2 linked regions of the Oreochromis niloticus genome follow. The protein of the gene in region 1 interacts with the protein of each later gene in a biochemical or structural test. Links are inferred from orthologs where the notes say so. Each region holds a gene or a part of one and is shown on either strand. Other genes may lie near its edges.

Region 1 (6,928 bases):
GCCTCCTTATAATAATTAAAAACACAAAAAACAACACTAACTCTAATTAAATTTAAACATTAACTACACAACGCAAAACTAAACTGAAATGAGAAAAAAACCACTCTGTAAACTGAGTGAAAATAAACTAAAACAAAAACTCATTAGAAAAGATCAAAGCTATGGGTAGAAACTCAGATATGAACTAGTAATAATACGACAGCATCTGAATGCGCAGTCTTTTTCTATGATCGAGCACCCACGTCACACTTCCGAAAAAAGTTACATCTAGCAAGTCAGAACGAGTAACACTTATGTATCCTTTCAGCATGGCGTCACAAGACTGAACGCATGCTGACGCGGACACATGCAGACATTTGCAACTGTGCACTTTTATGAATTGCTCAGCTCACTAAAAAACATCACTGTGCTATAGGAAGAGATTCAGTTAAGTTTCTTAACCACTTATTTAGGATCACCCATTAACTACGATGAACCAACAGTGCCATTTACTGCACCGATGATATGGTAATCATGTGTTCTCACTATTGGAAATACTCTGTTTGTTTTATGGGAAAGTCCTGACTGAGAAGAGAATGCAACAGCAGGACTCAGTAGTGATGAATTTACCGGATCATGCAGGTGGACTTTGTACTAGGAAGTTGTCGGTTTAAATACCATTTAATGTCTGATCAGACCATGTTGGACATTTTTTTGTTTGTTTGTTTGCTTTTTGCTTTGCTTTGCTTTGTTGGACATTTTTGATCTCACATGCATTTCAGTTGTGTAATTTTTAGTAAAGTTAGTAAAGTTATGGCTGCAGTGAATGTGTAAAAAACGCTAAAGAGGTTTTAACGCAAGAACTTTAATTTAAAGTCAGAAAAAAATCAGCCCATTGTTCCTTCAGTGGGCTGGTTTCAGTCATTATGCAAATGTACTGTTTATAAGGTTTGGGGAAACCTGCAGTCAGCTGAGACTGAAGAAGTCACTTGGATGAGTGACGAAACGTTTCTCCCACAAAACGCTACGTCCAGATGAACAGATTCAACTTTTGGAGATTTACTTTCCTGGATGATTGAGAATGCATCAAGACAAAAAAAAATCAGTGTGTGTGAGTGTGTCAGAGGAACTCACCTCTTCCTTAGATTTGAACCACTGGTACTGTACTGGAGACTTGCCCACAGCGTGGCAGCTGAGCCGCAGATTGTGGCCACATATAATGGATACGGACTGGGGCTGAATGAGGATCTGGAGGGCTGCACATGTACAGGATATTTACTGTGAATTTACACTGAGTTTAGATGGACTGTATACAGCAGAACTTTGTGGTGCTTCTCTTTAAGGTTTAACTTTAATTGCCAAGCTAGCAATGGTACAGATGAGTGGTAATAGCATAATAAAACATTCCCTCTTGAAACCTACATTATATGAACCCTGATTACTGCTGCACTGACTTAAAACTGCACTGACAATGACCTATAAGTTTCATCCAAACAGCACAATGAGCTGTGAGCTTCAGATGAGAAATAAATAGAATGCAGAAAGTGAAGATCAACCTGCATGATTGACAACATAGCGGCATCAATGTGGTTTTACTCTACCTGGCGGTTTCAGGCACTGCAGAGCCTCTGAGTTGCCTAAAGTTTGAAGGTAGTCCATCAGATGGCCCGTGGTGCAGCCTCGCTCTCCCATCAGCCTCAGCAGCATGAGACTCGGGCTTCCCTCCAGCTCCAGCACCTTCAGAGAGCACATCTCCATGTCATCCGAGCTGGAAAGGATGTAGGTGACTGTCAGCATTTCATATTTTAAATCATATTACAGTAAAACTCATCTTTACCGTTTTCACACACGAAAACTCAGGTCATGAGAAACTGTTAGACAAAGATAAGGGAATAAATTTACACAAGTTTAAAAGAAAAACAAATGAATGCTAATCTTTACACCATCTGCACCGCTTAGTGCACAATCAGTGAAACACTTTATCTAGTGACTTTATTAGTGTCATACTCTATTTACCTGAACTCTTTCTTTTGTGCAATTTTACACTTGTCTAAACTTATTAAGTTTGTACTTATTTGATTGAGCTACATTGTTTTTTAAGTTTTGGCTGCTGTTTTGGTATAAATAATGCATATTTGATCTTATGAGCAGACTGCACTGTACCGGGAATATATGTACTCAAACACACGGTGTAATAGTGATATTAGGCAGGTGTGATATCATATGTTACAGCCGTACAGTAACAGCTAGGATTAAAAAAAAATCAGAGGCAAACATTTGTCATCACCATTATTTGTTAATGAAACTGCATATAAATAATGATTGGACCCTACATTTTTGATTGATAGTTTCATTAACTAGCATTAACCTGGAAGATGCTGTAATGAAAAACAAATAGTTGTCCAATTTAATCTCTCAAAGGGGGTCTCTTGATTTATTAACTTGGAGTTACATATTTATCTATGCCAGAAAATATACAGGTTAATTGTGCATTACTGTATTACATACTCTATACCTTTATTTTTTAATATAAAGACACAACATAAAATTCACAATAACCAATAAACTGAACAGTGTAACTATAATGAAAGTTAATCGCGTTAGTCCCCATTAGCTTTAATAAATAAACCGGTGGTTGAGAGTATGCATGCAATGATTTCTGGTCATTTACTAAATACTAGTACTAATAGCAATTTTTAACCCACCTGACTTTAAACCGTCTATCATTGCCAACAATCTCTCCAAGTTTTCGCCATCCTTTAGTGCTGGATTTGTCCAGCACCTCACACAGCCTCTTCACAACCGGCTCCTTCAACGAGTTGACCTTCGTGGACCGTTCCAAAGAGTCCGACATGACAGTTCCTCAACCAAAGCTCACCATCAACGTGTTTCTATCGCACGCAAAAGCAAAGTTATGGCACGAAAAAAAAATGTCTACTTCCTGAAAGAAATGATAAAAATGACTGACACGCCTACAGCGTCGTCTTGGTTTTTCCCCGTGGTGCAGCTCAGTTGTGGTTTCCTTCTGCCAAAGACCACTTATGCGTAAAGATGAATCTCTGCATGTAGGCTTGTGAGGCGAGAGGCGAAAAGAAACAACCCCAACTCTGGCCTGTTTTCGGAGTTTACCTCCTTTTATTAATTCCACGCAATTAAGATAAACCAAGTAACTTACTCAAAAATCTACCTGTGTGATATCTCATTTTCTATTCGTAATTTTGTTTGGCGTTAATCGAAAGAGGATACCCTACTAGCTAGCTCTGTGCAACTGCCAAAGAGAGTGTAGCTGCTGTCTACTCGCCATTTGACAATGAATGAACGATTAACTGAGCCCGCAATCAACACCATTATTTGGTATTTGTTCAGTGGATTTTAATACGTCAGAGGTTTCTTTAATGTAAACGCTGCTAAAACTAGCTAGTATATACCAAATAACCCGTATTTATTAAGGTTAATCTATATATTCTTTTCTTTTCACATGCAACATCCATCCTTAAACGAGTGCCCAGGCATAGAATCACAAACCAAGTGGCACAGAAAGTTGAGGCGAGGCGACTCATCTCGCTCAATTTGCACTCTTTGGCTGTACTCAGCCGCTCAGGTGGGAGCCGGTGACCTCCTCATAGTGGCGGAGCTAGAAAGTTTTCTATAGGTTATTGGTTGGCCCAGAAAATGAACAGGTTTTTTTAAGGATCAATCCTGTTTTCATTTATGTAGGTATAACTTCCTGGAAAGATACCTTGAGGACTCAAACAGTTTTTACCCAGCACTGACATTGTCAAGTCAAAACTGTTTGCAATATAATGTACACAAAACTTTTATTTCATCTACATGTCACAAAAAAATTGATTCTGTTAATCTAGACGTAATGTTTTCAGTGGGGGAAACATTCACTCATCCAAGTAACCATTTAAGTCTCAGCTGACTGCAGGGTTCCCCCACCTTATAAACTAAACTGACTAACTCTAACCCGCAGTCAGCACTGGGTTTGTGGGTTGACCAAAGGAGTGGCTTGACACCCCTTGTCTCCTTACAGAATCTCAGAGTTTTTCTTCCACATATTCATATGGAGACTGGCTCTCTGTAAATCCTGTTTTGTAATGCTGGCAACTCCACTTTCTAGGTGAAAAGGTTGTCTTAAGTAATGCCATGACTAAGTAGGATAATTTTCCCTGTTTGTAATCAGGGTCACTCTTTTTTTCTGCTTTTACATGCTTTTTTTGTCCTTGCTGCTCTTTCCCTAAGTTTTTCAGAGCAGACCATATATAATGGCTTTGTTTAAAGGCACTTTTTGTAATTGCCCCCTGCAAAATGTAAGAAAACAATTCACCACAAGGTGGCACTGTTTTACCACTAGAAGCGTATCTTTTCAGGCGTGTGCTGCTGTTCAGTCAGCCCAGTCCCATAATAAAACACGAAACCTAACTAAACCAAGCTGTCTAAACTTAAGCATGAAAGGATGTTTTTCATTAATAATATTTTTTAAAGTGATGATGCATGAAAAAATTTGAGATATACAATAGATTCGGTATATAGGAGAATGGATGAATGAAAAGTAGTGTTCAAATATAATACTGGGAAATTCATGTTGAGGAACACACAAAAGAAAAAAGTTAATGTACAGAAACACAAACTAATAAAATGATAGTTGTGACTATATTTCACAAACTGCAATGAGACTGCATGGTGCTGTTAGTGTACTCCTACCGCCAGTCCCAAACCTGGACTTATTTCCTCACATACTTTTGATATTTTTAGTTATTTTTTGATATCTTTAAACTTGTCACAGTCCTGGTTCGGTGACCCAGTGTTTTGTATTATTATAATTCTTTGATTTCATCACGGTTTATCATTACTAGTCTTTTGGTCTATGGTTCTGTATTTCTAGCTCTCTAGTTCTTCTTCGTTTTCTGATTTCTAGTTCTTGGGTTTTGTTCCTGTGCCCCTCACATTTAGTGTAGGTTTAGTTCTGACTTCACGTTTATTTTCTCATTCCCCAGTCAGTCGTGTCTCAAGTCCATGCCTCTGTGCCTGTCGTGTGTTTCCTGTTTTATTTTGATAGTCCCTGTCCTGTGTGCAGTGTGTCTGGTTTAGCTTCCCCTTGTCTCGTTAGGTCTGGATTTGCAAATGCCATCTGGAACCATGATGGTAATAACAACATAAACTCACCTTTATTTAACGTCCCCAAACAAACAGGTTCTTTTTATTGTTTATGGCTATATAAGTAAGTAACGTGTTTCATATAAAATGTGAACATGAATTAAACAGAAACTAAATGTGTGTCACTGTTAACTGAACCACCGGGCCAGATGGGCTAAGCACTGCCTGGATAGACAGGCGTGTGGAAAACTACTGGAGAGCTTCTCTGCTGAACGCAAATTTTTGTTGCTGTGGAAGTTATCCTGCAAACATGTAATGCTTCGCCCAGCCTTCGGGCAAATTACAAGTAGTCACACTTGAAACCTGTAATTTTACCACATTTGTTTTAAACAATCAGCCCTTTTTAATAAAGCATTTTATTCCTATTGAGCAATCATGTGAGAAGATTTCTCCTATCTTAAAATCAGTCTGAGTAATTTCCAGCCACACTTACCAGTTTCAAATAAACACAGCCAAAGAGTTGACTGAGAGAGTCCAAATGTAACAGTAGAGAAAATGCTGAACACTGAATCATTGTGGATATAATTAGGCTTTTTTTGGCCAGCTATTAACTGTGATTCTTAATGACTCATCTAAAATCAAATGCCTAAAACTGTATCACATGACAAATACTACAACCCCACTTCCAAAAGAGTTGGGACGCTGTATTCAGTGTAATTAAAAACAGATTACAATGATTTATTTATTTTATTTGCAGTAGAACAGAAAACATATAAAATGTTTAAGCTGAGAAAATGCACTATTTAAAGCAATATGCTAACTCATTTTGAATTTGATGGCAGCAACATTTCTCCCAAAAAATTGGTGCAGAGCCATGTTTACCACTGCGTAGCATCACCTCGTCTTTTTACAGCAGCCCATAAATGTCTGAGACCAGCTGCTGGACTGTGGGAGAAGAATGTTGTCCCATTCTCGTCTGTTACAAGAGTCTAGCTGCTCTTTCATGATGCACTGAATGTTTTCATTGGTGAAAGGCTTGGACTGCTAGCAGGTCAGTTCAACACCCAGACATAGATGCAGTTCGACAGGCTGAAATACCCACGCCCTTCCCTGAAAAATACATAGTCTGGATGGGAGTATATGATGCTTTGAGCGTTGATGGTGCATTTCTAAATGTTTCCAGTTCCATAGGCACTAATGCACCCTCATGCCATCAGAGATCATCTGGATCATGTTCACCTACAGCTCCTTTCTTACATGACAGAGTTTTAACTGGTATTTGTGGATGTACAGTGAAGTGTGTTCACAGACAGTGATTTGTGGAAGTGATCCTGAACCCATGCCGTGATGACCAAAACTTGCAGACAACCAGTATTGATATTCAGTCTTATTTCTTGCGCAAAGGGATTTCAGAATCCCTTGATGATTATGTACTGTAGATGATGGGATATTCAAAGTCTTTCCAATTTTACGTTGACGAACATTATTCTGAAATTATTCCACAATTTGTGGACAGTTTTTTGTAAAATGGTGTCCCCTCTGCCCATCTTTACTTTGGAAGCTCTGTCTGTGCTTTTTTTTGATGCCCATGCATGTTACTCACCTGTTGCCAATTAACCTAATTAGTTGCAGATGTTCCTCCCACTGTTTTCTTTCTAGAATCAATTACTTTTCTAGTATTTTCCCCCATCTGAACATTTTTTAAATGTGTTAGTGCTATTATGATGCTATTAATGGAAGGAGGCTTAAAGGAGCTTATATTTTCATGAAAAAATTGAGTTTAATTTTTCACTTTAAATGATTTATATTTGAATTGGGATTTGATTGGGATTTTTTTAGGCCAATTAAT
Region 2 (7,310 bases), on another chromosome or scaffold:
TGTAACCAGTTTCTGCTTCCCCCTCTATAACAGGCCGGCCAAAATTAACTCCTTGACTCTGCGTTTTGTTGTATTTTTAAAGAAGACAAGGAGTCTCTGGTTTGTCTTGATGCATGCTCAGTCATCCAGGTAAGCAAATCGCAGAAGTTTGATTCTTTTCATCTGGACGTTTTCAGTGGGAGAAAAGTTGCGTCACTCATCAAAGTGGCTTCTTCAGTCTCAGCTGACTGCAGGTTTCCCCAATCTTATAAATAGTACATTTGCATAATAACTGAAACCAGCCGACTGAATGAACAATGGGCTGGGATGTCAGTTTTTTGATCATTAGTATGCAAATTGTGATGTTCATTGCTCAACAAACACTGATCAAAGACCACTGATCAATGGCCATGAGTACCATTCACAGAGAGTTGGGGAATGGCTCCATTGTAAGATGATTCATAGATGTTTTTTCCCTTTTCACGTAAATGGCCTCCTTGACTCCACGCTCAAACCAGCGTTCCTCCCTGTCCAGGATGTGTACATCCTCATCATTGAAAGAGTGTCCCTGGCCTGTAGGTGTAAATAGACTGCAGAGTCCTGGCCTGACGAGGTGGCTCTTCTGTGTTGTGCCATCCGTTTCACCAGAGGTTGTTTGGTTTCACCGATGTATAAATCCTGGCAATCCTCCTGGCACTTAACAGCGTACACTATATTACTTGTGTCGGGGGACCCGATCCTTGGGGTGGAACAATTTTTGGCACAGCATGTTTTGGGGTTTGAAAGCCACAGAGACGCTGTGTTTAGAAAAATGCGTCTCAACTGTTCCGATACTCCTGACACATACGGGATCACTACAGGTTTTCGCTTAGGCAGCAGTTGTCCTTCTCTCCTGGATGAACTGGAGCTTTCTTTAGGTGACTTCCCAGCTTTGACAAATGTCCAGCTAGGATAACCACATTTACTCAGGGCCTTCTTGATGTGATGTTCTTCTGCTTCCCTGGCTGCTGTGTCTATGGGGATGGTGTTCGTTCTATGTTGTGGCGTCCTGATGACACCCAGTTTGTGCACCACTGGATGCATATTAATGATCAAGGACCTGACCTCACAACTCACTGTTCATTCAGTGGGCTAGTTTCAGTTATTGTGCAAATGTACTGTTTATAAGGTTGGGGAAACTTGCAGTCAGCAGGGGTCATTAGCTCCCCGGTCAGTGTTTTGGAAAGCCGTAGATGCAGAAGTAGTTATGCCAGAGTTTGTGCGCTACTGCCTTAGCAGACTGATTAGGGCTGATTAGAAAGGCCTGAGCCATCTTTGGAAAGTGGTTTATGACCACAAACACATCCACTGATTTGTTTGCTGAATCCTCCCAAAATACTTTAGCGCCGTTCCTTGTTGGCCCTGGTGACCTGCTTCATCATGGGCACCTTTCAGTACAGCAGGATGCACGGTTGGCGGAACAACATACAGGTAGGTCTTAGAGACTCGATACAGTAAACTATTTCTTACGGTCAACTTGTCCCAAGCCTTTAGGAGTCTCCTTGTATCGGTCGCTTCTTTGGCCCACTCTCTCCTTGATGGTCTCTGCCCCCTTTCCACATAGAGGATCACTCTGCACAGCACATCATCATGTGTCTCACTAGGTCATCTTGTAAAAAGGATTCAGAGTCAGACCAGTTCGGTGTAAGCACAGTTTGAGAGAGGCAGGAGAAGAGCATGTGGCCACACTCTTGACTTGTGTTTACTATGGCCCTGGAGGACAGCTCCCACCTCAGCCTATGCAACAGCTGTGTTTATCAGATTTTTATTAGTCAGTTCTTCAGCATTCAGGGTCTTACTGTGGTCCTCTCCTAAATCTCCCTCTTCCCTCTGGTGATTAACCAGATGCATTATAAGGTTGCTGCCCAGAATAAGGTCCTCACTCTGCCCTGCAACCACCATCATTGGCAGAACAACTTTACACCCATACACCTCAATGGTAATGTCCCACACACCTGTTGGAACTGTCCTTGAACCACCACAACCAATCAGGACGACATCAGTGGGTTGGAAGGTCGAGGTCTCCAACGCTACAGGACGTAAAAATTGGGGCATTACATTGATGCTGAGGATGCAGGCCATGGAGCCACCGTCAAGCATCGCTTTAGCTGACAGTTCGCCACCTAGGGTGACGTTTTCATTGAGCAGTTCATCATTCTGTTTTAGTCTGTGTGTGTTCTGAAATATGGGTCATATTGGGACTCACCTACTGTCGCTAAAAACTAAAAGGCAGTGGCTGCACTAAGCTGAGAGGCACACTTCTGATCTTTGCCATGCTCCAGCAACTTCTCGTACACATCAGCAACTGTCCACCGCTGCAAGGACTTGCACTTGAAAATAGGAGACAGTTCTGAGTCCGGGGAGTGACGGTTAAACATAGCAGTCAGCTCTTTTGTCAGATATGCAAAGGACTTAATTTGTCTTTTAAGGCAGTCTTCTGTCACCTCCATAGCGCTGTTCAACCTGAGCCAGTAATCAACAGGCTTTTCACCTAAGTTGGATAATGTTGCATAAAAATCTGCTAAAGGCATGCTTGAACCGGCAGTGTTAATGAAGTGCTGCTTTTAGATCTCAAAAATGGGCTCTGGGCCCCCCTCATGACATACAGATGGCTTACTACGTATGCCCACCCTGATTATCTCTCATACCCTCCCTGCAAGTTTACTTGGCACTTCATCAGCTTGTTCTGCTACTGGTATCCCTTTTCTTTTTAAAAAGGCCATCATCATTTTCCCCATTCCCAAACACTGCATGTGTCACAGCCATCCCCTCTAAAACACACAGGTTCTTTGACATCAGATTTTGCAACCACATTCAGTACTGAGGGCTCTGAGAGCAAAGACCCAACAACAGTGTTTCCCAGTCCATAGCACAAGCAAAACTAAAAGAAACTGTCCCTCTCCCCCCTACCAAAAGTGGGAAAATCTGTCATGCTTTAGCAGATTTTTGTTGTTGTTTTGATTATCGAAAACAGTACATTTAAAGGGGGAAAGAAAATAGTTGACTCTGAGTTCAAAATGTGAAAGAAAACATCTCAAATGGAATATACAGCAAAACCTCAAACACACACTACCTCCCAAAAAATACAAGAGCACAGCTAAATAGACCTTAATAAAAATGCATAGCAAAGGACCACTACATTGAATCACTGCAGAGTAGTAAACAGCTCTTTTGTTGAAGATAAAACGTGTTTATCCCCCCCCCCCCTTCTTTTTCTCCTTCCCAAAGTGTAGGAGCCATTTTTGGGTTAATACCTTATGTTGCCGCTAGAGGTCACCTTTTTTAGTTTCTGTATGGTAGGTTTATGTCAACAGTTTGTGACCGCTGCGCTGTTATGTTAAAATGATATTGGAATAAAGACCAAAAGGACAAGATAAGTACTGCTGGAGTTATTGGACTGTTTAATTAATTCATGCATACCAGTGACATCACGTCACCCCCGTTAACAAACACCTCTGAGGCTTCAAGCATAGGCGTAGCCTCTACACAAAGAGAAAGTACACAATCCCACCTCAATGTCCGAAAGAAAACAGAAAATGGCGGGACTAAGAGAAACCAGTCTCCCGCGGTTTTCCGCACAGTCCACCTTCCAGGAAATAGACAGGCCATTGTATATTTATTTCCTCTCATGTAGCTTTAACAAACTGGCAGTGATTACATACTTACATACTTATTACATATACTTTTTACAGTCATTGTGCACCAGGAGGGAGGGCGCTGTTTCCCCATTGCACTGACATTTGAGGCAAGTGGAAACACTGTTAGGAACACACCAGTGACAGGTGTAGGTGATGCTTGGTGTCATGAAACACTGATGGTCTACTTTTGACTCAAGTAAAGACATGTGGCCTCCAGTAAATGCTGTGTGCCCATAAAGTTTTAGCTTTTTAAAATAAATATATATATATATATATATATATATATATATATATATATATGTATATATATATATTTATTAAATTTTGTGGATATTCTTCTGTTGCCTTCAAAAGGAGGACTGAGGACTCGCAGATCATCCTCTGGTTGCAGAGCTCAGGCTGAAGCGTGTCGGTCATGCCTGCAGCTAGGTTGCAGCTGGCTTGCTTAATTTTTGTTTTTTAATCTGCTCCCTGCTGAGTCACTGCTTCCCCTAAAAGGCCCCGCTTTCGATTTCCATTTCCTTTAAATCGTCTGTCTTCTGGGCGACCAGCAGGTGTCGCTGCTGCGCTTCGTAATTTTTCAGCAGTTTGTCAAGAGTTTTTAAGTTGAGACGAGAAGAGGCGCCGTTTCTAATGGGAGGGGTTTTTTGTTTTTGTCTTTTTGAAATTGTAACTTTTACTTTGCACTTATGAAATTCCCACTTCTCCCTGATTGGAGGAACCGGGAGAAGCGTGATAAAGACATGATGTAACCAGGAGAAATGCCTCAGAGGGCGTGTGGCTGAGAAAGAGCTGGCTTTTTGACTTCTTTGTGCTAAAAATAGGTGCATGAGCTCTGGGATAGAGGCTCATTTGAATAGTTAAAAACTGATTTGCATATGCACTGAAGCCGATATGAAAACAAGACGAGCCGCCGATACGTGCGATCAGTTTACATACATAATAAGCGGGGAAATCGGCTTTTAAGGGTAAAGGACCTATTCTGGCCTCATTATGATGCATTATGCAAATCAATAAAGCGGCAAGGGTTTGATTAAAAGCTCGGTTCGCGCTGTCGCGGGGGGGGTTTTCCCGTCTGTGAGGTGACGTTACGCGCAGAGGGGGATTTCCACGCGGTCCAGCAGCCAATCAGCGCGAAGCTTGTCCGAAACACAAAAGCGGAGATGACTTCGTGTAAGATATTTCGACACATGGCTTCGAGACGGTTTGACACTTTCCCCGGGATCAGACAGAAGCTGTGAGCCGCTGTGCAGTCTAACAGGTGGTTTAAGGAGCTGTTTCAGAGTTCAGGACGAAGGTTTGGGCCGAGACGGAAAAAGACCCAGAGTCATCCGGTTTGGAGACGACTCAAGGAAGGATTCAAGGACACGACGGTGGAGTTTAAGGTCCTAAAGGTGGTCTTAAAGACTGGACGCATGCCATGATAGACATGGACATGGTCAACGGTACCTCTGGTGGGTGGTTGTCTTTTGTAAACCTGTTGAATCTTTGCGTGTGTTTGTGCGTAAAAGCGCTGACATCATCCTGAGGCATGTGATTTTTCACAGCAGAGGAGACAACACCCCTTCCCGGGATTGACCCGCAGGACGACAATTGTTCGAGCCTCGACTCTCTAGATTTCGGTGAGTGGTGGGTCTTTTTTGTTTTGTTTTATTTTGTTTTGTTTTGGCTCTGCGTGCATGTGCCGGAAGCAGGGAGGAATTACGGTGACCTGAGATGACCTCTGGCAGGAGGCGTAAACCATCATCAGAGTTCCTGCTTGTTTAATCTTAGGTTGTCTTATTTCCGATGTCAGAAAGGGAGAACTCAACATTTGGGACATTAAATTAAACATGAAAAAAGTCACAACAGCTGATTTCTCTTATTTAACATTGAAAACTGTGCTGCAGATGCTAGCTTTGTTTAATGCTTCATGCTTTCTGACAAAGTGTCAGACATGACAGACCACAACCACTGGTCCCCAAAGACAGGTATATTTACCTGCAGGTAACCACTGCTCTAGATTCACTTTCACTGGTTAAACTGAGGCTGACTACAGGGCAGGAGGCCTGTTTTTTTATTGGTGCAGTGCTGAAACAACGTGCCACAGATTCATGCACCAGTGACAAAAACAAAACAGAGGAAACGGTTCATGTGAGGTGGTAACCACTCAGATTCTGACACACTGTGTCTTGTGACACGTTGCCACGTCTTAAAATAGATTGCAGTAATATACTACTAGGTTTGGAAGATGTTAATGGAAGTGTTTCTGCTTTCTAATCCAAAAACATAAAGAAACAGAGTAGCTGCTGCCCTAAACCAGTGTCAGATTTTTACAACATTTGCACTTTCACTTTGGATTCACCATCAGTTTGTATTCATTCACACAGACCTGATTCAAGAATATATCGCAGAAAGTGAGCAGGTAGCACCCACCCCATCTGGACTACCTGGACCACCTCCTCCACCTACTGGCCTCCCCTGCCCCACAAACCAAACCCCACCAAACCCCATCCACAAACCAACGCAGATATCCAAGCCGGTGCTGGTTGCAAGAGGCACCTTGTCTAAGGTGGGTGTTTTGCTTTTGGGGTTTTTTTTGTTTTTTTTAGGTGGTGTCACGCAGGGTGTTGATTTTTCTGGTTTCCTGCTCTTTTTGCAGTTTCGTACGTTACCCAGAAAGACTGCTGGCAACACCCAAGGGTGCCAAGCAGAGAGGTGTTTGTATCAGCTGTGGGCTGTGAAAGTTGCCAGTCTGGGGTGAATAGGGGCATACTTTTTACAGATCCTGGCAAAATTTGTGCTCATTACTTCAATACAGGGTCTATTTAACTAGATCAAGTCATAATTAATATACCTGATACTTAATTTGTATAAAAACCAGAGAAATAAATGTCAGTACATGCACCTATTTTGTAAATATTCAATCACTTTGGCTGATATGACTGTATAACAGGTAGGAAACTGGAGTCTAGGCTGTCTGGAGAAAGGTTATGACTAATAAACAATGATAACAATAATGATGGTATTCTTATTTTTAGCCTTTTCTTATCTTAGCTGGGCAACATAAACATTAAAACAGTTAATGGATTCAGCTAAAACTTAAAACATTTTATTTATGAGAAGAAACTGTTAAAAATGTATCTGCTTGTGGCTCCTCTGAATGGTTTTTTTTTTTAGGTTTTCTTCTTATCATTTGTTTGTGCAAAGCACTCACACAGATGGGCAGGTTGTTGTGCTCTTCCCTCGGTTTATTATTAGCAACAGTAGTTTTATTTCCCATATTGTCTTTGTGCTATTATTGAAAGGCGGTTGATATAAAACACGTTCAGAGGAAGCGTCTGTTCCTCCTCGGGGGTGGCTGCAGCTCTCATAATGAGGCTGTTGTGAGGATTGAATGTTGGTGGTATGAAGTGCTGCATGATTCATGTGCAGCCTGCAGACGGTTGGCTTTTTTGCTGTGTGGCACAGTGCAGCCGTTAGGCAACTTGGCAGGTCCGGCTTCTACCAGAAAGCACGTGGTTTACAGGCAGCGGGAAGCTCAGAAAGGCTGTAATCTGATGAGGCACTGTAGTGGCCGCACAGATGGGTAATAATGAAGGGTGCTGGAAGTTTAGCCTTCTCTTAGTGAATGAGCTGCACAGGTTATGTTGCTGGGTTTGAAGAGGTTTTGCA

The links.
Region 2: of the proteins of malt1 (region 1) and relb, one has a biochemical effect on the other in vitro, tested with the Homo sapiens proteins (2 studies listed by BioGRID). The link is inferred for Oreochromis niloticus from reciprocal best matches to the Homo sapiens genes MALT1 and RELB.

The regions. Positions count from the first base shown.
Region 1 is NC_031977.2:28,480,762-28,487,689, reverse strand, and holds the start of malt1 (mucosa-associated lymphoid tissue lymphoma translocation protein 1), read right to left. Parts: upstream 3,015-6,928; 5' UTR 2,834-3,014; coding exon 2,685-2,833; intron 1,748-2,684; coding exon 1,581-1,747; intron 1,236-1,580; coding exon 1,114-1,235; intron 1-1,113. UniProt on the Homo sapiens protein: Protease that enhances BCL10-induced activation: acts via formation of CBM complexes that channel adaptive and innate immune signaling downstream of CARD domain-containing proteins (CARD9, CARD11 and CARD14) to activate NF-kappa-B and MAP kinase p38 pathways which stimulate expression of genes encoding pro-inflammatory cytokines and chemokines.
Region 2 is NC_031979.2:23,753,231-23,760,540, forward strand, and holds the start of relb (transcription factor RelB), read left to right. Parts: upstream 1-4,301; 5' UTR 4,302-5,076; coding exon 5,077-5,110; intron 5,111-5,203; coding exon 5,204-5,278; intron 5,279-6,025; coding exon 6,026-6,207; intron 6,208-7,310.